Linked DNA regions of Coturnix japonica. The protein of the gene in region 1 interacts with the protein of each later gene in a pairwise test. Links are inferred from orthologs where the notes say so. Each region holds a gene or a part of one and is shown in the gene's direction. Other genes may lie near its edges. The genes, in order: CRK, USP53, PTPN4, PPFIBP2 and ATXN1.

Region 1 (4,103 bases):
CCACCTGTAAGATAGAATATTTTTCCATTGGGATACTGTGAAGGTTCATACAAAACACAATACCAAAGCCACTCCATGAGACAGTCACAGGGCTTCCCAATGCCTCACAAGAAAGCAAAGGTGCTGTGAGCCAGCACATGCACTTGCACAGTTAAGGGCAGCTGTGCTCCATGTTTATGCAAGTGCTGCCACATGGAGGCCACACAGTTGAAAATACACATTCCTTTGGGGGAAAAAAAAAAGCTTATAGAATTGAGCAGAGCTGGAATGGAATTGTCTATGCAGTTATCCAGACTCTGAAGATGTTACTCTGGAACTTGAAGCTAATCTAAACTTGGTACCTATTTCTCCATCCTTATAATTCTTAATGGTGCATACACCCACATGCACATTCCCCTGCAGCAGAAATGGAAGTGAAGCAACTTTATCTGCAGGCTCCTGCGGTCAGTGATCTTCTCAGGGTCAGAAACAGCTTGTTTTTCCACAGGGCTCTACTTAACACAGAACATCTCCCTGGGAAGGGTTTTCCAGTGGTTTTCCATGCAAACAGCTGTGAGGCAGGAAAATGCAGCTGGCTGGGAAGGTGAAAGCACCAACTGCAGGTGGCAGCTTCTCTCTGAAGGAAAAAAGACAATGAATTGAATCCTCAATGGAGGGACAGGAAGATGATCAGGGGCTGGAGCACCTCCCCTCTGAGGACAGGCTGAGGGAGTTGGGTTTGTTCAGCCTGGAGAAGAGAAGGTTGCGGGGTGACCTCATTGCAGCCTTTCAATACCTGAAGGGAACCTATAACCAGGAGGGGAGTAAACTCTTGGAAAGGGCTGACAATAGCAGGACACGGGGAAATGGTTTGAAGTTAAAAGAGGGAAGATTTAGGTTGGATGTCAGGGGGAAGTTCTTCACTAGGAGAGTGGTGAGGCCCTGGAACAGGCTGCCCAGGGAGGTTGTGGATGCCCCGTCCTTGGAGGTGTTCAAGGCCAGGTTGGACGGGGCCATGGGCAACCTGATCTAGTAAAGGTGTATGTTTGGTGGCCCTGCCAGGCAGGGGGTTGGAACTACATGATCCTTGAGGTCCCTTCCAACCCGGGTCATTCTGTGATCCTGTGGGTGCCCAGACGGACCCTCCGCACTCACAATCAGGTCTCACCTACAAGGCAGCACACACACAGCTCCCCTCAGACCCTGCGCTCCACCCAACGCGCATGCGCAGCCCCCACAGGCCGCCAACCGTCCCCAAGGCCGCGCGTTGTGATGACGTCACGTATCCCCCCGCGTCTCCCGCGTGCGGTCACTTCCGGTAGGTGAGGTCAGGGTAGGGGCCGCCATTTTGGTGCGGTAGGGCTGGGCGCGGAGCTGGGCACCGCGGGCGGCGGCGGCCCGCGGGGCGGGGGCAGCGAGTGCGGCCTGCGGGCGGGACGGCCCCCATGGCCGGGCAGTTCGACTCCGAGGACCGGGGGAGCTGGTACTGGGGGCGGCTGAGCCGGGCCGAGGCGGTGTCGTTGCTTCAGGGGCAGCGCCACGGGACCTTCCTGGTGCGAGACTCGGGCACCATCCCCGGAGACTTCGTCCTGTCGGTGTCTGAGAGCTCCCGCGTGTCGCACTACATCGTCAACAGCCTGGGGCCGGCGGGAGGACGAAGGGCCGGCGGAGAGGGCCCCGGGACCCCGGGTGAGTGACCCCCAGGGCTGGCCGTGCCCATCAGCCGCTGCGGGCCCCGCTCTGCGCCTGGTCCCTGCAGCTCCGCTCTGCTCACGGCCGGGTCTGAGAGTCGTGGTGGAGTCGTGTTGTGTTGGAGTCGTGTTGCTCTTTGTAGAGGACTTAATTCAATCTCGCCTTGCAGCCGTTTCCCTGCACCTGCCTCGCATCTAAACGATGGGACAGAGCGCAGCCCGGAGCCGTCACACTTTTACAGCTTTATGCCTTCTTTCGTTTTGTTTTAATTTGTGGGTGAGGTGTGTCAGCGTGGAGATGGATCCCTGGAAGTGTCAATTCAAAGGTTGAATTGGGTTGGAATAGTTGAGAGTTAAGAGGACAGATTGTGAGGCTAAACTTAGTCGTGAATCAAAGCTGGGTGGGAGCAGTGTAAAGGCGTTTGTTCCTTTAGATCAGATACGGAATTCAGGGTTCCCCCTCCTACACACACCTTGTGTTGTAAAGGGAGATTTGATGTTATTCCTCATCAACCTCTAATACAAACATAATGTACTTAAGTTAACCCTTGAAGTGTTGCTTTTGCATTGCAGAAAGCAATGATTCTGAACGCACAAGTGACCTGGAGCCTTCAGCAATGTATAATCTATCGATGTGTGATGAGAAGGTTGAATTAAGCAGCAGCCCTGATGGGGGCATTGCTGATGTTGGCGGTGGAGCCGCTCCTGTCTGGATGTTAATGCTCACAGAATGATGTGGGCGAATTGCTGGCATCTCTGAGAAACCACTACAAAGTCTGGAAGGCTGTATAATAAGGCTGTGTAATAGGAGAGCTAATGAACCTGACGAGGAGTGAAGTTAGGACATAGGTTGCTACAGAGACAGAAAGGCTGTGCAGACTGTAGTTGATAAAGAAGGAATCTGTTGGTGGTGGGTGGGTTTGCACCATTCTACAGTGATCTCTCCTGATTGGGGTAACGTTTAGAATTGACAAACTGGGGAAAGCCTGAAGTCATTGGGTTCATCACAGGAATCTGCCGCTGCTGTAAGGTGTGCTTCAGTCACACAAAGCTCTGCAATGCAGGAGATAAAGGTGGCTGCATTGAACTGGAAGCGAAGCGGGTAGTGAAGTGGTTTACCACAAGATACATTCGGTTCCTCAGCGTTTCATGTCTTATCAAGGCAAAGGTTTATTTTCATAGGTTGATGTGTGAAACGTGTGGTTGTTACACAGAGCAGAATAAGCTTCTATGGTGATTTGTAGTGGAGTCCATCCTGAGCTTTATTACTTTTTGGAAGTCCACTTTTTCCCCACCTTGATGTTATTGGAATAGGTGCTGCTTTGCTTTCACACCAAAGGTATTTTTGTGCTGAAATTCAAGTGGGTTTAAATGAATGTCATGCTGATGCTGTGCGCTTTTCACGCTCAAAGGAAGAAAGTGTGTGTGTAGTAAGTTACGTTTAACCTGTAATTAAGAATTTCCTCCAGGGAGAAATGTTCTTTAAAGGAAGGGACGTGCTATTATTGCTATAAGGTTGAAGATGATTTCAGGTTTGGATGGGGAAGGTAGTGCAGTGAAATGAGGTAAATGTTCACAAGTAGCTATTTTGGAAAAACCAACTTTACCATGTCAGTTTTCTATATGGTCTACTTATTTTTATTGCAATTGATTGTTTGACAGATGCACACAACTCACTGGAAAGCCTAAATATGCCCGGTCAGGTTCCTGTGTTGATTTATTGGCTTCAGGTGATTGAAATGCATGTGTGATTTGTGACTGCTTGTACCCTGCTGTGTGCAGGTGACAGTAGGAACCTGACTTTAAACCCATCACGTCTTTGCAGTTTGACATACAAGGATAGGGCCGTGATGTCTGGTGTACACTCAAACATCTAAAGACATCAGGCCAGAAGCCTGAAAGCCTTAACGTTTTTCTTTATGACATAGAGAAGTGTGACAGAGTGGAAGGTGATGTTTTCAGTAAGTATTATGCGTCTTAAGAACGTGCTTATTGCGCTCCATTGTGATTTTCTGAAGGATTCAGGCTGCACTTCCTGGACTCATGTTTTTATAGAGCATTCCTGAGTGCTTGTCTCAGTAGTGAGCAGACAGGCACTGAAGAACAAGGAGAAGAAGGTGTCGGAATGAAGGTGGGGGAAACAGGCAGAAGGTTTTGCCTCTGTTGCAGAGTTGCTCTAGGAGGAAGGCTGTGATATGTTGCTGTGATGTGTTCAGAGTGAGAGCCTCGTGTCTCAGCACCCTGAACACCAAGAACAGCCTTTCTTTCCCCAAATGTGCTTTTGAAGATGGGGGTAGGGGTTTGTGGGGTGTGTCTAGAGATGAAATTGAAAACCTATATTCCTGTTAAGTCTCCCATGCCCTAAAAAGGAAAGCTTACCAAAGCTTAGGGATAAAGAGAAAACTGCCTAGTGGCACGGACGGGATGGGAGTG
Region 2 (3,945 bases), on another chromosome or scaffold:
GACTAGAAATACAAGTACTCATGAACAAACCATTCCTTTCGCAAATAACAAAAGGAAGCACCCCTCCCTCCCCAAAATAATACAGCAGATAAAATAATAGGAACGCGACTGGGGTAATGACCCAAGGGCAGCTCTTTAGGTGATACAGTGCAGGGTCTGCGAGTGCAACGTGCACTGAGATGCAACGCAGCTTCGGGATGTGTGTGCTCGGGGTGTGTGTGCTCGGGATGTATGTGCTCGGGGTGTGTGTGTGCTCTGGATGTGTGTGTGCTGGGGATGTGTGTACTCGGGATGTGTGTGTGCTCTAGATGTGTGTGCTCGGGGTGTATGTGTGTGCTCGGGGTGTGTGTGTGCTTGGGATGTGTGTGTGCTCTGGATGTGTGTGTGCTGGGGATGTGTGTACTCGGGATGTGTATGTGCTCTAGATGTGTGTGCTCGGGGTGTATGTGTGTGCTCGGGATGTGTGTGTGCTCGGGGTCGGCCCGCACAGCCGCCCTCAGCCCAGCAGCAGCCCTGTGCCTGCGTTCCCTCATAGGCACCTTCAGCCGGGCCCACGTGCGGACAGATATCCTGCAAGGAGCACCGGGGAACAATTGCTGGAAAAGCAACGGCTGCCCCGTTCTTTTGAGCAGGTTATTAACACGAAAAACCGGTGGTTTGGAACAGCCCCAACACAGGCTTCCTGCCCTGCAACCCGCAGCTCTCAGAGCCGCTCCCTCACAGTTACCTGGGGCACGGCTTGCGCTGCTTCTACACACGGGGTAAGCACGCCCTTCGCACGCAGGCGATGTGCTGAGAACGGCACTAAGGGAACGGGGAAGGAAGGGCTGCTGCAGCCCCAAGGCTTCACAGTGCAGCACGACAGGCCGCCCTGCAGCCTCCTCCCCACGTTCATTCAGCACAGCGGGCTGTACGGCGCGCACCCCATGCCCACCAAACCCCGAAGTCACGAAGGGCTCGGGCAGCGCCCAGCCTACTGCGCATGCGCCCCGCTCCCGCTCCCTCCTCCCGCTTCCTGGCGCCGGGATCCCGTCCGTCCCGGCCACGGCGCCGCTCCACTGCGCGTGCGCATCGCCCAGCTGGGCGGAGGCGGCTCCCGAGGCGGGGTGGGCGCACGCGCACGCGCCGCCCCGCAGGGCGAGACGCGGGGAGACGGAGGAGGGGACGGCGGCGGGAGGGGGAGCAAAAGTTGCCGTGAGGGCGGGGCGGCGGCTGGAGTCTCCGCCGGGAGGGGGCGAGAGAGGAGCCTACGGAGGGTGCCGCCGGACACGGGAGGTGAGGCGGGGGGTGCCCCGGAGGAGCCGAGCTGGGGAGGGGTGGGAGGACTCGCCCGCACCGGCCGGGATGGGGCGGGCTGTGCGGGGGCTGCTTCGCCCGAGGGCGGCGGGCGGCCGCGGGTCCCGTCCCGCGCGGGGCCGTTGTGAGGGGTAGAACCGCCGTGTGCTCAGCGGTGCGGAGCGGCTGGACGCAGCCCGGGGCCAACGGCGGCCGCTCCGCTCCGCACCGCGTTGTCCCCGCTGGGCGGGTTGTGTAAGCGGCGTTAGGCCGGCACGGCTCGATTCGGCTCCGAGCAGTACGCGGACCGCGCGCGGGACGGGCTGAGTTCGGGGGTTGTCTCGCTGAGGGCCAGAAGTTAATGTTTAACGCCGTAGTCACATGCCCGTCAGCGAGCTCCGCCGGAGTGTTTTCGGAGTGTTTGGAACAGGAAATGCCGGTGCAGGTAGCGTGGAACTCGGTGAAATTTAATCAGTTCCCAGCGTTTGCAGCCGCACGAGCAGCGCTCCGGGTGCAGGTGGGTGTCTGGCTGCATGCAAACTGCTCGGCATCCGTCGCTCCGACTGTCTCTTGCTTTGATTTTCAATGCAAATACGTTAAAAGATACTTTCCAGAGGTGATACCTTGTTTTCTCAGCGCGTATTTTTCTCTTCCCGAAGTAAGTGTGGGTTTTATGTGTCTGCTTTTAACCCCTTGTTTTGCACGTGTTTTGCTTTGAAGTTTTGGGGTTTTATAAGAGCAAATATTGGATCGTGTGAATGGATTGTGCCGGACTGCTGATGTGCAGCCCCTTCTCCTGTTGTCCCCGTGTTGTCCTCTCGTGAAGTGATGACTTTGGCTATGGAAACAGCGAGAGTTTGTTATGATCTGAATGCACGTTGCTCTAAAGAAAGAACAAGTGATCTTCTACCTTAACAGTGCTGCAATGTAGGATGTAGTTACTGTTTGTCAGGATTTTTAATATCAACTCACTTCTGTAAAAAGTTTTTACCCTGGACCGGTGAGATGCTGATAGGAAAAACACCAAAACTGTACTTGATTTTACTATCCAAACTTGATAGTGCAGAATCTTTAGATATAAAGGATACATGGTGTACAGCAGGAAGAATCGTCTGTTTGTGGGATCCACGAGGCTTCAGGGTCAATGTTAGTGCTGTCACGTTTCAGTTACATTGTTTTCCAAGGTCTCGATTGCAACACTTGTATGGTTTTTCCTCAGTTATTGGTGCTGGATGCAGTAAAAATCTGTGTCAGTTGAGGGGCACAGCAACAGGAGTGAAGCCTGTTCAAAAGCTTCTTCAGAAATGCTTTTTTGGCTGCAGTGGAAGCACTTTGGATTTTGGCAGGGCACGGTGAAACATTGATGTGCTGAAGCTGTACCAAGGTTATGGACTTGTTGGTGTTTAAGCTGCGTGGGCTGAGGAAGAAGGGTTGTAGAAAGCGAGCTTTGGGGCAAGAAATAGAAACTTGATGTTTTTCACATCTGGTAATTATCAAACATTCCAGAGAACAAAACACTTCAGAAATGACTGAGAAGCCGTCAAACAAAAATCTCTGTAGTTTGTTGTTGTGTTTAAGAATGTGTCTCCGTGTGTTCGTGAGCTGTCAGTGAGGAAGGATAGTCAGGAATAGCACTCTGGGGGTTTCAACACCTTCAGGTTGGTTCGGTACCTTGGTGGGTCTTGTATTTAACATATGCTGATACTTGAATTCAGCAGGGAGGAATGCTCGTATGAGAAAACTCAAAGATAACTTGCTGCTTTAGGGCATTTGGGCTCTACATTTTTTACAGGCGAGACACTCTGCTGCCTTCTCTGCTGCTTCTGTCCTACTTCTCCATCTGCATTCATTAGTGTGAGTTTCTATGCTTGATGATTCACTGTAAATGCTGGCTCGTGTCATGTCTTGGGAATTTGTCTTTAAGATCTTTCCTCAGTGTTGCCATTGTGGCTGTTTCTAAAGTCAGTTCCTAGTTGCGACAGTTGGGAGATGCTGCTGTGAACCTGTTGTTTTCTTTTAGATGCAAACAGGAAAGTTTTCATTGGAACAGTTTAAAGAAAAAATTGTATGCTTTTAACAGGAGCCATCTGTGATAGCATCTACGCTTCTGATTCTCCCATCCTGAAAGGATATGAATAAGTCTGACATCACAGAGCAGTGATGTAGCTTTTGAGGGACCGCTAAATGGATGTGGGCAAGAGGAGAGACAATGGAGATATTTAAAATAGAAGTTTGGTTCTAAAGTCTTCAGACTTTGGGTGGAAGTATTTCAAGAGAGAAGGCTGTGAAATAACGCTTCTGTCTCCTGGGGACTTTCTGAGCCAGTGTTGAGAGGTAGAAGGAATGTGCCAGCCCAATAGTACTGCTGCTGTGCCTGCCGTTACCCCATGAAATCAGGGCTAATTGGCACAGCCGGAGATGCGATTTAATTGGTTTTAGAAATGTTCTTGTTGCAAATCATGTCTTGCGAGTATGTGCTCTTAGTAATGAAAGGTTTTTTGCTCTATCTGATGTTTCAAATACTGAATCATAGAATTACCCAGGTTGGAAAAGACCTTGGAGAGATCATCAAGTCCAACCAAGCCTAACCAGTACCCTAACTCTAAAAACCCTCCACTAAATCATATCCCTGAGCACCACGTCCAAACAGCTCTTAAACACAACCAGGGA
Region 3 (3,513 bases), on another chromosome or scaffold:
TTGTGTGACGAGGGAGTCTCAAAAATTTGAACACTTGTAAATCTTGTTTCATGCTTGAATTTGGCTGTAGTGAAGCCGCGCTGTCACATGCATTCCCTTCTAAGACAATCAAGTCAGTTAAGAGAAAATCTTGAGTGGTAGATTTAAACAGCAAAATAAGTGAAATTCCAAAACGTACCTTTATTCGTATGCCTTTATTCTAAATTAAGTTGTAGAATGTGTTCCTGAATGTCCTTTGGATTTGTTAATTTAATACCTGACTTCCTGTGCGAGTCACCATAGAAATGAGTCTTAAAAAGAGAGGAAGTGTTTTTGCAAATTAGTTATGCAGCAATGAGTGTTCTTTTTCATGGTTTGCACGTTTTTTATTCCCTAAAAGAAAAAAAAAAAAAAAGAAGTATTGCTTTTCCTATTCAGAAGTTTGAAAGTGCAATTTAATCTCCCACTGTAATTACTTAGCGTGAGATATTTTTTAGAATAAGGAAATTGACTGTCAAAATATGAATCCTCAAAGATTCTTCTGAAACTTTCAGAGTATGGTGTTGGTTAAAGCTTTTACATTTATGAATAAAAGTGGTAGAGTAATTAAATGTATATTAAACATGTAAATAAAATGATTTTGTTGTCCAAAAATCGACTACTTAAACATTTTGGCCCTTCTGAGTTAGCAGGTTCAAACAGTGCATCTGCTAATTTACTGGGAATTCATATATGTAGATCAAATTTATATAGAAAAGCAAGTAAGAGGATCTAACCTGATGGTCAGTACAGTGATCTCATGATTTGGAGTCAATATAGCCAAAGAACTCAGTTATCCAGTGCGTATTAGGAGATTTTTGCTTAGATAATCCAGTCTTTAATTCTGTCTTTTTGTCTTCAGCTACATGTGTTATTCAGAACTGAGTTCTTTGTGCTCATAGCATACTGAGTTAATGATAAACTTAACTTCGAAAGGCACGTGATGTATATTTTAATAACCTTATGGCTATAGGTACGAAGTGTTTGCTTAATTTATTAAAAGGTCAGGCCGGATATCTGTAACAAAAATACACAGAGATTGTCAGTGTGAGGTTTTATGGGTTATTCTATTATTATGTAAATGGATGAATGCAGTAACAGAGAGCTCCTTTGCCTGCCAAGCAGGCTGCTTTCATGGCCATTGTCTGAGCATTCATAAGGAGATTCAAAGCTGACTGGGCAAATACAAAGCAATGAAGTTTTTGCCCAAGGCTTGATTGTTAGTTCTCACAATTCATTATGCTAATACATTACAGCGCTTGTCTTGCTTCTACTAAAATGCTCATCTGAGTAACTTTTCAATTCTTTTCTATAAGTTCGTATTTTCTTTGGGAATTTATTTGTGTTTGCTGACATACTTACAGGCGTCCAGTCAAACATAGGGTTCTATCTTTTACTTTTATCTGGATGCTTTTGTGTCTTCACAAAGGTTTTCCATTCCTTTTTCATTCCGTTTAGAACTCTCAGGAGTAATTGTTTTCAGGCAGATATGTAACTGTGTTGCCCTTGTCTTGAAAAGGATGAATAACCTGTGCCTCACGGACCTGAATGTATAAATACATGGGCAGCTGAACAGCTCTGGGTGACCTTTACAAGTGAATGTCTACATAATTTACAGCAGCCTTGAAAAATTCATTTTGCAGATGTTGACAATCATATTTTTTCTCTTTCCAATAAACTATCTTGAGGAAAAACTACTTATTCTGAAAAAAAAAAAACCAACCAAAAACCAACTTCTTAGTCAATTCCCCAAGATAGTTGTGTCACAAAAAACATTTATTTTCCAAAAGTTGAGGTTAAGCAAAAACACCTAATACAATATTAGGATTTATATTTATATAAATATATTTATATTACTGCCTTAGTTTTTACTACTTGCAGCAGCTTGAAATGCTGTGCTCTCTTCTAATGAGTCTCCCCCTCTGCTACCAGTTTATTGCAGCAAGCCCCATAGTAACTATAGTAGTACTCCTCACACAACAGTGCTGATAAGGAACAGTGTCCTATGTATGGCCTGCGGGAGTGTATTTCCTTCCCTCCACCTGGAGATTAGTCAGTTCACTTAGTTGATCCAGCAGCAAGCTACCCAGGCTTGTCCAAAAAGTCACAGCTTTGGCTTGTTTGGTGAGCTGGGTTGGCCAAGGGGAGATCACTGGAGCAATGCAGGGAAGGGGGCATGAGGAGCAGATGAAGAAGAGCAGCACTCACTTTTGGTGGTAGCATGCTCATAGGTTTAGCTGTAACCGGTAACTTCATTCCTTGTGGCTTTTGGATTTGCCACTAGTCTCAGTGGGCTGTTGTCACAAGTAGTGAAATTACTTAATATCTTTTAATGTGGTTCATGGGGAGGAAGGCATGTATCCGTGTTGGTAGTTAGAAACTGGCATTCAGACGAGGTTAATGGGAGAGCTATGTGCTAACTGCCTTTTTGAGCCTCTAAAAACCTACAGTGCCATGTAATGAAAGATGAATCATATATTTATGTAATACGAATTATACAGTTAAGCTTTTATTTCAAAGGGACTAATAAAGGAAATTATCCGTATTGCATGTAAACACAGGACTTCTTTGTTAATCTGCAGTACAGTGCTTGCAGAGCTAAACAGAAATAGAAGTTTCTGCCATTTCATTTTCAGTAACGGTGTTAAAACTCACTGAAAGTCTTATTGGGGAAAGCACTTTAATTGTTATGCATTTTAGATATGTATTTTTTAGCTGGAGCATACAGCATAAATATGGTGAGTGTTATAGTTTGTAAACATTAAATGTGCTGGAACCTTGGGGTTTTTATTTTAAAAACAAACAAAAACCAGCCACGTAAAAGTGAAACCTACTGGTTCAGTTACTTACAGTTGCTTTTCAAGAAAAAAATTACTAACGTTGCCAAGCCCACACTTCCAGTCTGTTCAACTGCAGCAGCACATTTTTGAGATTATGAGAACATATACATATTTTCAGGTCTCCAACTCATAGTCTCTCTAAGCAGTTTGTTTAGTTTACTTGGAATCCTTAAAGCGCCATCAGTATCTAATAATTTATACTTCGTACTTCTTGTATTTTGGTGTTTAGATCTCAAGAAACTCCTATAGATGGGCAGCCTCCTGCATTACCACCCAAACAATTTAAAAAGAACAGTTGGAACCAAATTCATCATTCACACTCACAGCAAGAACTGGATAACCACATCAATGAAACATTTGATGTCCCTGTATCTCCTGAAAAGTCCACAGTAAGTTTTTTAGATCTGGTTTAATTATCCTGCTTTTTATTTGAATGATTCTACTCCTTGTAAGCTTGATTTTGTTTTCAGGGATGTGCGAAGTTTGTGCATTACATTGCAGCATTTCGTAGGATCATCTTTTCATGCTTACCTGAGTCACAGTGAAGTTCTGTTTAGAAAAACAACTACTCAGGTCATCCGGTATTCAGTTATCTGTACCAAATGGACAAAAATAACTTTCAATAGTGTTTTTTTGGAACTCGCTTTAGTTCTCA
Region 4 (3,513 bases), on another chromosome or scaffold:
GGGATGACTGAAGATCGCATCAGGAGTGTCAGTGCACCCGTGCTAGGTATCGTATCCAAACAAGATGCAACTTGAACGTGAATTTTGCTGCTTATTTTTTCCTTTCCTTTTTCCCTCCCTTCCTCTTCTCTGTAAAATACTAACACTGAGTGCACAGTCCAGACTGAGCTCCTTAAGTTTAGCACTGAAATGAAACCTTTAGCTGCATAGCATTCAGACGGGATTTTGGTGTTGTTTTTTAAGATATTTATTCTTGGTCTTATTTTGCTTTCACTGAAGTCAACAATAAAATTCCCGCTGATTGTGACAGATGAATTTTGTTATTAAAAATAGGAAACACAAGAGCAGATCAAGATCTGGAATTAAGGTTTTAAAATAAACTGAAAAAACAATATTATAGTAACTTTTTCTTGTATCAAAAGCACAACTACTTTTTTTTTATATTATTTTTATGCAATAACATTTTTACAGCTATCTGTACTTTATGTTTTTTAAGAATTAGTCTGCCATAGAACAACCTTGTCACATTTGGTACTAATTATTGACAATTATTGTTGTTAACCCAGGAGAAACAGAGAACATGGATGGTACAGTAGTCTCAGATGATCTTTCACCTCTTTCTTCGGGAACGGATTCGGGTCCACAGTCTCCACTGTCTCTAGAAAACAGAAAGAGTCCAAAAGGGATCAAGAAAATCTGGGGAAAGTAAGATCATGTTTTTTAGTTCCTTGTCACAGAATTTCAAACTGAGAATTCAATCAGTTCTCATGAAAAGATACAGCAAGTGTAAAATGAAACTCAGGAGAAGGAGGGAAAGCAGCTTTCTGATTGCATAGGTGTGTCTGTCTGTACACACGGGTGGAGGAAAGCGGATGGTAAGGTTCAGAGTGCCACACTAGTTGAAGAAATTATATATTCTACTGTGTTATTGTGCTGACAATTGAGAATACCAAGTTTTACTGTGTTCCTTCTATTTGGACTGCAGCCGTTTACAAGCCTGGCTTCTGATGTGAATTATTATTTGAGTTGAAGGGTCATGGCTGCTTTGCAAAGCTTTTCTTTCTTTTCTGAGATAGGTCTAGACAGTTTGCCTGCTACTTCATCAGCTGCTGCTTGAATCAGATGTTTGTGCTTTACAGGAAGATTAATACAACTTCTAGCTGTCATTATAGTTTCCATATGAAACAGTTTGCTGCCGGATGCTAACAGCACTGTCTTGGCACTCTTGTTTTGAAAGGATAAGAAGAACTCAGTCTGGTAACTTCCCTGCAGACGATCTGGGTTTGGCAGAGTTTCGAAGGGGTGGTCTCCGTGCAACAGCTGGACCTCGGTTATCCAGATCAAAGGAAACCAAAGGCCAGAAAAGGTAACAGTTTTTCTTTTCTTTTGCACAAGGTATAATATAGTATTGTTAAATACACTGAACAGCAAAATGTTCCTCATTTGAAATATGCATTAACATACTTAATTACACGTGGAATTCAATTCCACAACTGGAAATAATTTCTCTGGTAGAAAGTGTAGCCAAAGCAGTTTCCCATCTGCACTCCTTCAACTGCAGGGAGCAGCAGCAAAATGTCACCAGAAAATTTCTCATCATCTCCTGTGGGGAATATCTGCAGCCATCAAGATTCCGCAGTTACCTTTTTCTGTCCTTTCCCATTTCTATTTGAAACTTTTATCTTCCTGCCCTGCCTCAAATGACCAGTAGAGGAAGCTGGGCAGTCAAATTTAGAAAATGCTTGTACCACAGCATGTACTGCAAGAATGGCTGCTAGAGCTGATTACTGCACAATACAGATCACACTGGGACCTGGCCTGTAGCATCTCCTCTAGTCTGTGATGGTCTTCCTTATAATTTCCATCGTCTTTCCTTTATGGCTTTTAATGAGTTCTATTATTTTTCAGTGACTACAATGCTCCATTCGCTCAGTGGAGTACTGAAAGAGTTTGTAACTGGCTTGAGGACTTTGGTCTTGGGCAGTACGTCATTTTTGCCCGGCAGTGGGTGACTTCAGGCCATACACTGTTAACTGCAACACCTCAGGACATGGAAAAGGTAATGCATGTACCTGTTTCTCTTAAGTAAACTCCAGTTGCTTCTGTATAACCAGGCCCCTTCCAACAATGGGCAATTCTACATCTTTGAAATGTTTTCATGTTTGTTTTACCTCTGGCTCTCCTCATCTCATTAAACTATTTGTTAATGATTATTATTACAGGAAATGGGAATAAAGCACCCACTGCACAGGAAGAAATTAGTTTTGGCCATTAAATCAATAAACACAAAACAAGATGAGAAGTCTGCACAACTTGATCATATCTGGGTGACACGTAAGTGCTTGAAGAATTACACAGAAAAGTTTGTGTTTCTCTTGTATAGTGAAGTAGGAATTAACAGAAAACTCAAGTATTTTCAGATCAATCATCAGATGAATTTTTCTCCGAGCAGATGACTGTATGGGTCTATCTGCACATTCGGCACAGTCTCAAGTGTAAAAGAGCACTGGGTTGAATACTTCATAAAGCACATATCGTGTAATAACCTGATGATGGCATCCGTGTTTCACAAATTGCTCCACAACTTTGCTGCAATCTGAATGGTAGAGTTCCCATGCAAAGTTCATTCTATAAAACAGCATCTTTATTTGAACGTTCAGAATGGCACAAAAATCATCGTTCTATGAAATAACTTGTCCTGTTGAAACTTAGCGCTCTTAAAAAGATGCCTGGTGACTGCTCAAACATGCACGTGTCTCAGGCAGCCCATCCTTCTTGAGGGAGAATGAATATAAATAGGGGTGGGAGGTCTCAGTCTAGCAAGAGCTAAATTACACTGCACAAAGTACATACTTAAAATACAGCAGAGGTATTGTTGACAAAGCTGGCTGCTGGAAATTGCTTTAAGGTTCCGTTAAGAGGATGTCCTTTGGAAAGTGAATAGGTAGAACAGCTACTGGAGTGCCTCAGAAGAAGCCGGCTTCATTCTCACTGACAGAGATTTGGATACACCATTGTTTTTCTACCTGCAGGCTGGCTTGATGATATTGGTTTACCTCAGTACAAAGACCAGTTTCACGAGTCCAGAGTTGATGGGAGAATGCTGCAGTACTTAACTGTGGTAAGCTCAAATCTTTTTTGCCAAACTCTGAACTTCATAATGAGCAAAGAATTGCAGTTTTTTTTGCAAGCCAGAAACAGTACAGGTAGGAACTTCTATGTATTGTTTAGTGCAACATTACTTGTTTTACACACCTCAAGAATAGTAATACAGTGTTATAACTGACTTCCACATGAAGTTTTTCTTTCAGTCCCACATAACACACTGACAGTAAAATGACCTAGTTTACACACAGCTTCTTGAATGTTTTGTTCTCCTCACTAAGTTATCAACAACATTATGTAATATAAGGGTAAGCAACAAATCCAGTAACTTGTACAGCTCTCATCAAATTAGCAGCAATACAAACAATACATACACCCATTATATTTACTTAGTAGAATCACAGAATG
Region 5 (4,057 bases), on another chromosome or scaffold:
GTTGCACTGTTAAAATATGCTTGTGCTCATAAAGCCGGTCTATAAGACAGTACCAACTCTCAGTCATGAGCTGTGCAGATTACCATGTTGTTAGCACATTCTCTAGGAAATATAGAGGACGAGTACAGTCATTCATAGAAGGGACTGCTTTGCTGATCTGCATACTGACAGAGCCCTAGGGTCTTTTGCATCCAGACTAACGCTAGATCCAATGCTGAAACACAGCGGTACTACCTGTGGACACACACGTGACACATCGGCACTACAGACATCTGCTCGGAGCTCACAGCTGTGCTGGGGGGGGGGGATTGGAAGAGGCTCAAACAACAGCCCGCTCTGGGCAGCCACGGCACAGGGAGCGCACGTGCTGCTCTCGGAGCCCTTCTGGAGCTGAGACCCAGCCTTGGGGGTTTATGCAGCATTTCGTGTGGTGACTTTGGGATGGGGAGAGGCTTTCCCGGCGCCGTGCGTGCCTTCCTGATGCCAAAGCAGAGCGAGCGGTTCCCTGCGCGGCAGTCGGGTTGCCAGCAAGCAGAGCAGACGCCGTCCCGTGCCTGTGTTCCTCCCATTCATTTATTCGGGGAGAGGCGGGCAGTGGTCTGCGCGCAGCCGGGAGAGACGAGCGAGGATTGTGCCGGAGCGCGTACGAGGAGCGCAGCGGGAGCGAGTACCCAAACATGCGTGGTGCAGCCCTGCCCGCCTCGTAGTGCGGCGACGGAATGAGTCAGAGCCTCTTTGGTCTGAATGAAGTGGAAGGTACTCTCTACAAAGCAACTCGAGCATACGCCAAGGATCCGGAAAAATAAAACTAATTCAGAAAACGGGAGTGGGATGCGGGCTCCTGCGCTACGACGCTTTGAACGGCAAAACGCAATATGGCATCTTAAATAAAATCACCCTCCCCTGACTCTCACGGCGCTGCCTCCGAGCCGTCCCTGGCTCGGGTTTATTTCCTCCCTTAGCGACAGCCCGGCCGAGGCCGCCGCTCCCGCATCCTGGCCCCGCTCTGCTCCCCCCGCTGGGCAGCGCGTCCCTCCCGGTGCCCGCCGGTGCGTCCCTCAGCACAGCGGGCGTCGGGGCGAGGAACGGCCGGGCTGGGGGGGTAAAAAGGGGGGAGGAGGAGGAGGGCGGCTCGGCCCCGGGCGGCCTCCAAAGGGTTAAGGCCGGCGGCCCCGGCGGTGCTGAGCGTATGCAATAATCTGTGTGGCTCTCTTGGCCGCCCGCCAGAGTGCTGCCTTGCCTCCTCCTCCTCCTCCTCCTCCCCCCCGCCCCCCCCTTTCGCGTGAAGTAGGATCCTTGAGCTGTTGCAGAGGCAGCCAACTGCTCCATATTTGGCTTCTATTACACATTTACATACTGGAGAGCGGAGCGGCAGCGAGCGCTGTACTGCAGACATCATTTCTACTACAGCGCCGGAGCAGCCCGGAGCGTGTCCCCGCGGGGGAAGGAGCCCTCACTTACACACACATACACACGCACACATATACACACACACACACACATACACACCCGCAGACCCCCACCCCGGGAGGACGGCGGTGCTCGAGTCTCAGTCCGACCCCCCCCGCCAGCCCCACCTCCACTGACACTTTACAGTAAGTGCCTTTTTCTTCCTCCTCTGCTTTCTGCCCCTCCACCCCCCCCGCTCCTCCTCCTCCTCCCCCGGCTTCTCCCCTTGTTTGGGCTGCGGAGCCGCCCGCGGTTCCCGGCTGGAAAAACACGGGGCTGGGGGCGGCTCTGTGCGTGTATATGTGTGTATGTGTGTGTGTGTATATGTGTGTGTGTGTGTGTATATGTGTGTGCGGGGGGGCAGCGCTGCGGCCCGGCCTCAGGGCCCGGCCCGGGCGGGGGCCGCGACATGGCCGAGGGCAGCGGCCTGGGCCCGGGGCCGGGGCTCGCACGGCCCTCCCGCTCCTCCTCCTCCTCCTTCCTTCTCCCTCACCCCGCCGGCAGGGTGGACATTTTGCGAGCGGCGGCCTCGGGGTGTGTGTTTGTAGCCGGGTGTGTATGTGTAGATGTGTGTGTGTGTGTGTGTGTGTGTGTGGCGGTGCGGTGCGTGACGGGGTGGTGACACGGCCCCTCCGTGTGTGTGTGTGTGTGTGTGTGTGTGTGGGAGAGAGGAGGGGGGGGGCCGCGGCCGGGCCGCACGGCGCATGTAGTAGGGGCTGGGCGGCCGCTGAGGGTGAATGAAGCGAGCGGGCGGCGGAGGAGGCGGCGCTGGGACGGGGATGTGGCCGGCGGCCGCCCCGCGCCGCTGCTGTCGGGGCCCAGGCCGCCTGCGGACAACGCCCGGTACCGCCGCCGGGGGAGCGCGGGCGGGAGGGCCGCGGGGCAGCGCCACTTTAACCCCGGCCGGAGCTCGGGGTCGGGTCGGTGTCGTTCGCTATTACCCCACCCCCACCCCGGTAGGGACGCGGACGCCGCGATCCGCGAGCGCGATTCCTGGGGGTATCGAAGTCTCAATTAAACGCGCTGCGAAACGTCAGCGCCCGCTGTAATAGCGATAAGAACGCGACGGAGCGGGGAGCGCAGAGGAGGAATTACCGAGCGGCACTGACGGAGGAGCAAACAAGTCGGAAGCCGTTATATAATGCGGGGAGCGGCGGCTGGTTGGGCGCCGCTGACCGCACGGAGCGCAGCGCCGGGCCGAGCCGTGTGGGGGGACATCCCGCTCGGTGCCGGGCGCCGCGGGCTGTTTGTCCGTCCGTCCGTGCGTGCGGCGGCGCAATGAGGGCTTTTAATTTCGGTTTCGAGCCCTTCCGCGGCGGTGCGGGCCCGGGCCCTTCACGCAGCCCTTCGGAGACCGCCCGGCCCCGCTCCGCCGAACGATGAGAGAGCGCTGCTATGGCAACAGACAGCCCCGGCCGCTCAGGTGTGCGCGCCGTGAGCCCCGCCGCCTCCGTGCGGGGTGCGGGGACAGGGACGGGGGGAGGCACCGCACAGCGGCTCCGTCAGGGCGCTGCGGGAGCACGGAAACTTTGCCGCTGCTCCTCGCACCCAGCCCGGCTCCGTAGGGCCGGGAATTGTTGGTACCGCTGGGAACGTGAGCAAGGAGCTGTGCGCTGAGGGGCAGCCGGCTTCCTTTGCCCTCGGTGAACAAACCCGAGGGGGCATATCGTATAAACATCGCCACGCGGCTCGTTGCTGATATTCCGATTGATACCACTTTGCGTTTGTGCTCGTTAACATACAGCAGAGAGCGAAACTTTCCGCCCCGTACGGCGTGTTGCCGTGTTGGAGCGGGCAGTGCGGCTCCTGCCCTCCCGGAGCAGCTCATGCCGGCCCTTCCCCTCGTTGCCCGCACACGGGCGCAGGCGTCGCTTCGTGCAGGCACCGAATGTGGCGCTGAGTCGTAATGCCGCGGGCCTGGAGCGGCTCCAGGGGCTGCTTGAGAGCCGCGCACACCGTGTGTATATCTGGGGTAGCTCCGCTCGTTGGACTCCGGCCAGGCGCAGAGCAGAGTAGCAGAGCTCAGGCGCTGATCCGCTGCCTGCAGCCATCGTTTTCCCAATATCTTACCACGGCAAAAAGCAACGTGGGATTTTTTTTGCCCCCTGGAGGTGCCGCGTTAGCCACGTGCGTCCACGCTGCTACGGAGCGCAGCCCGGAGCACTTCGCATCTCGGCGGTGAGAAGCTGCCGGCACCGTGAAGCACACACACAATCACAGCATCACAGAATGACCCGGGTTGGAAGGGACCTCAAGGATCATGTAGTTCCAACCCCCTGCCTGGCAGGGCCACCAAACATACACATTTACTAGATCAGGAGCACCGGAGCTCCCCGGCAGCCCCTGGGCAGTGCACGGTGCCGGCAACTTCTCACCGCATCTCTTCTCCCTGCCCTGCTGTGATTTACTCGGAGAGGCTGAAGGAACCGGTCTTTTATTGTAAGAGACATTTACAAGAGGCCTGGAATTGCACTTAACGAACATTTTTATGTAATAGATCCAGTGGCCTAGTTTCATCTTAATTAAGAAAATAGACGTTAGATGCGCTCACCTGAAAAGCAACTGATTGAAACATTAGGATGCGAAAGTATTGGTCTCAGAGCAAAAT

Evidence for each region.
Region 2: the proteins of CRK (region 1) and USP53 interact in binary tests that used the Homo sapiens proteins (3 or more experiments, as listed by UniProt). The two-hybrid records come from large-scale screens. The link is inferred for Coturnix japonica from reciprocal best matches to the Homo sapiens genes CRK and USP53.
Region 3: the proteins of CRK (region 1) and PTPN4 interact in binary tests that used the Homo sapiens proteins (3 or more experiments, as listed by UniProt). The link is inferred for Coturnix japonica from reciprocal best matches to the Homo sapiens genes CRK and PTPN4.
Region 4: the proteins of CRK (region 1) and PPFIBP2 interact in binary tests that used the Homo sapiens proteins (3 or more experiments, as listed by UniProt). The link is inferred for Coturnix japonica from reciprocal best matches to the Homo sapiens genes CRK and PPFIBP2.
Region 5: the proteins of CRK (region 1) and ATXN1 interact in binary tests that used the Homo sapiens proteins (3 or more experiments, as listed by UniProt). The link is inferred for Coturnix japonica from reciprocal best matches to the Homo sapiens genes CRK and ATXN1.

The regions. Positions count from the first base shown.
Region 1 is NC_029534.1:3,973,280-3,977,382, forward strand, and holds the start of CRK (adapter molecule crk), read left to right. Parts: upstream 1-1,295; 5' UTR 1,296-1,424; coding exon 1,425-1,668; intron 1,669-4,103. UniProt on the Homo sapiens protein: Involved in cell branching and adhesion mediated by BCAR1-CRK-RAPGEF1 signaling and activation of RAP1.
Region 2 is NC_029519.1:49,032,566-49,036,510, reverse strand, and holds the start of USP53 (inactive ubiquitin carboxyl-terminal hydrolase 53), read left to right. Parts: upstream 1-1,142; 5' UTR 1,143-1,275; intron 1,276-1,408; exon of another isoform or gene 1,409-1,792; intron 1,793-3,945. UniProt on the Homo sapiens protein: Deubiquitinase that mediates 'Lys-63'-linked deubiquitination of tight junction proteins, such as MARVELD2 and LSR, and which is involved in the survival of auditory hair cells and hearing.
Region 3 is NC_029522.1:21,505,571-21,509,083, reverse strand, and holds part of PTPN4 (tyrosine-protein phosphatase non-receptor type 4), read left to right. Parts: intron 1-3,087; coding exon 3,088-3,247; intron 3,248-3,513. UniProt on the Homo sapiens protein: Phosphatase that plays a role in immunity, learning, synaptic plasticity or cell homeostasis. Regulates neuronal cell homeostasis by protecting neurons against apoptosis.
Region 4 is NC_029520.1:11,725,896-11,729,408, forward strand, and holds part of PPFIBP2 (liprin-beta-2), read left to right. Parts: exon of another isoform or gene 1-13; coding exon 14-46; exon of another isoform or gene 47-566; coding exon 567-705; intron 706-1,237; coding exon 1,238-1,366; intron 1,367-1,908; coding exon 1,909-2,059; intron 2,060-2,222; coding exon 2,223-2,334; intron 2,335-3,032; coding exon 3,033-3,121; intron 3,122-3,513. UniProt on the Homo sapiens protein: May regulate the disassembly of focal adhesions. Did not bind receptor-like tyrosine phosphatases type 2A.
Region 5 is NC_029517.1:67,238,886-67,242,942, forward strand, and holds the start of ATXN1 (ataxin-1), read left to right. Parts: upstream 1-1,255; 5' UTR 1,256-1,595; intron 1,596-2,125; exon of another isoform or gene 2,126-2,369; intron 2,370-2,400; exon of another isoform or gene 2,401-2,872; intron 2,873-4,057. UniProt on the Homo sapiens protein: Chromatin-binding factor that repress Notch signaling in the absence of Notch intracellular domain by acting as a CBF1 corepressor. Binds to the HEY promoter and might assist, along with NCOR2, RBPJ-mediated repression. Binds RNA in vitro.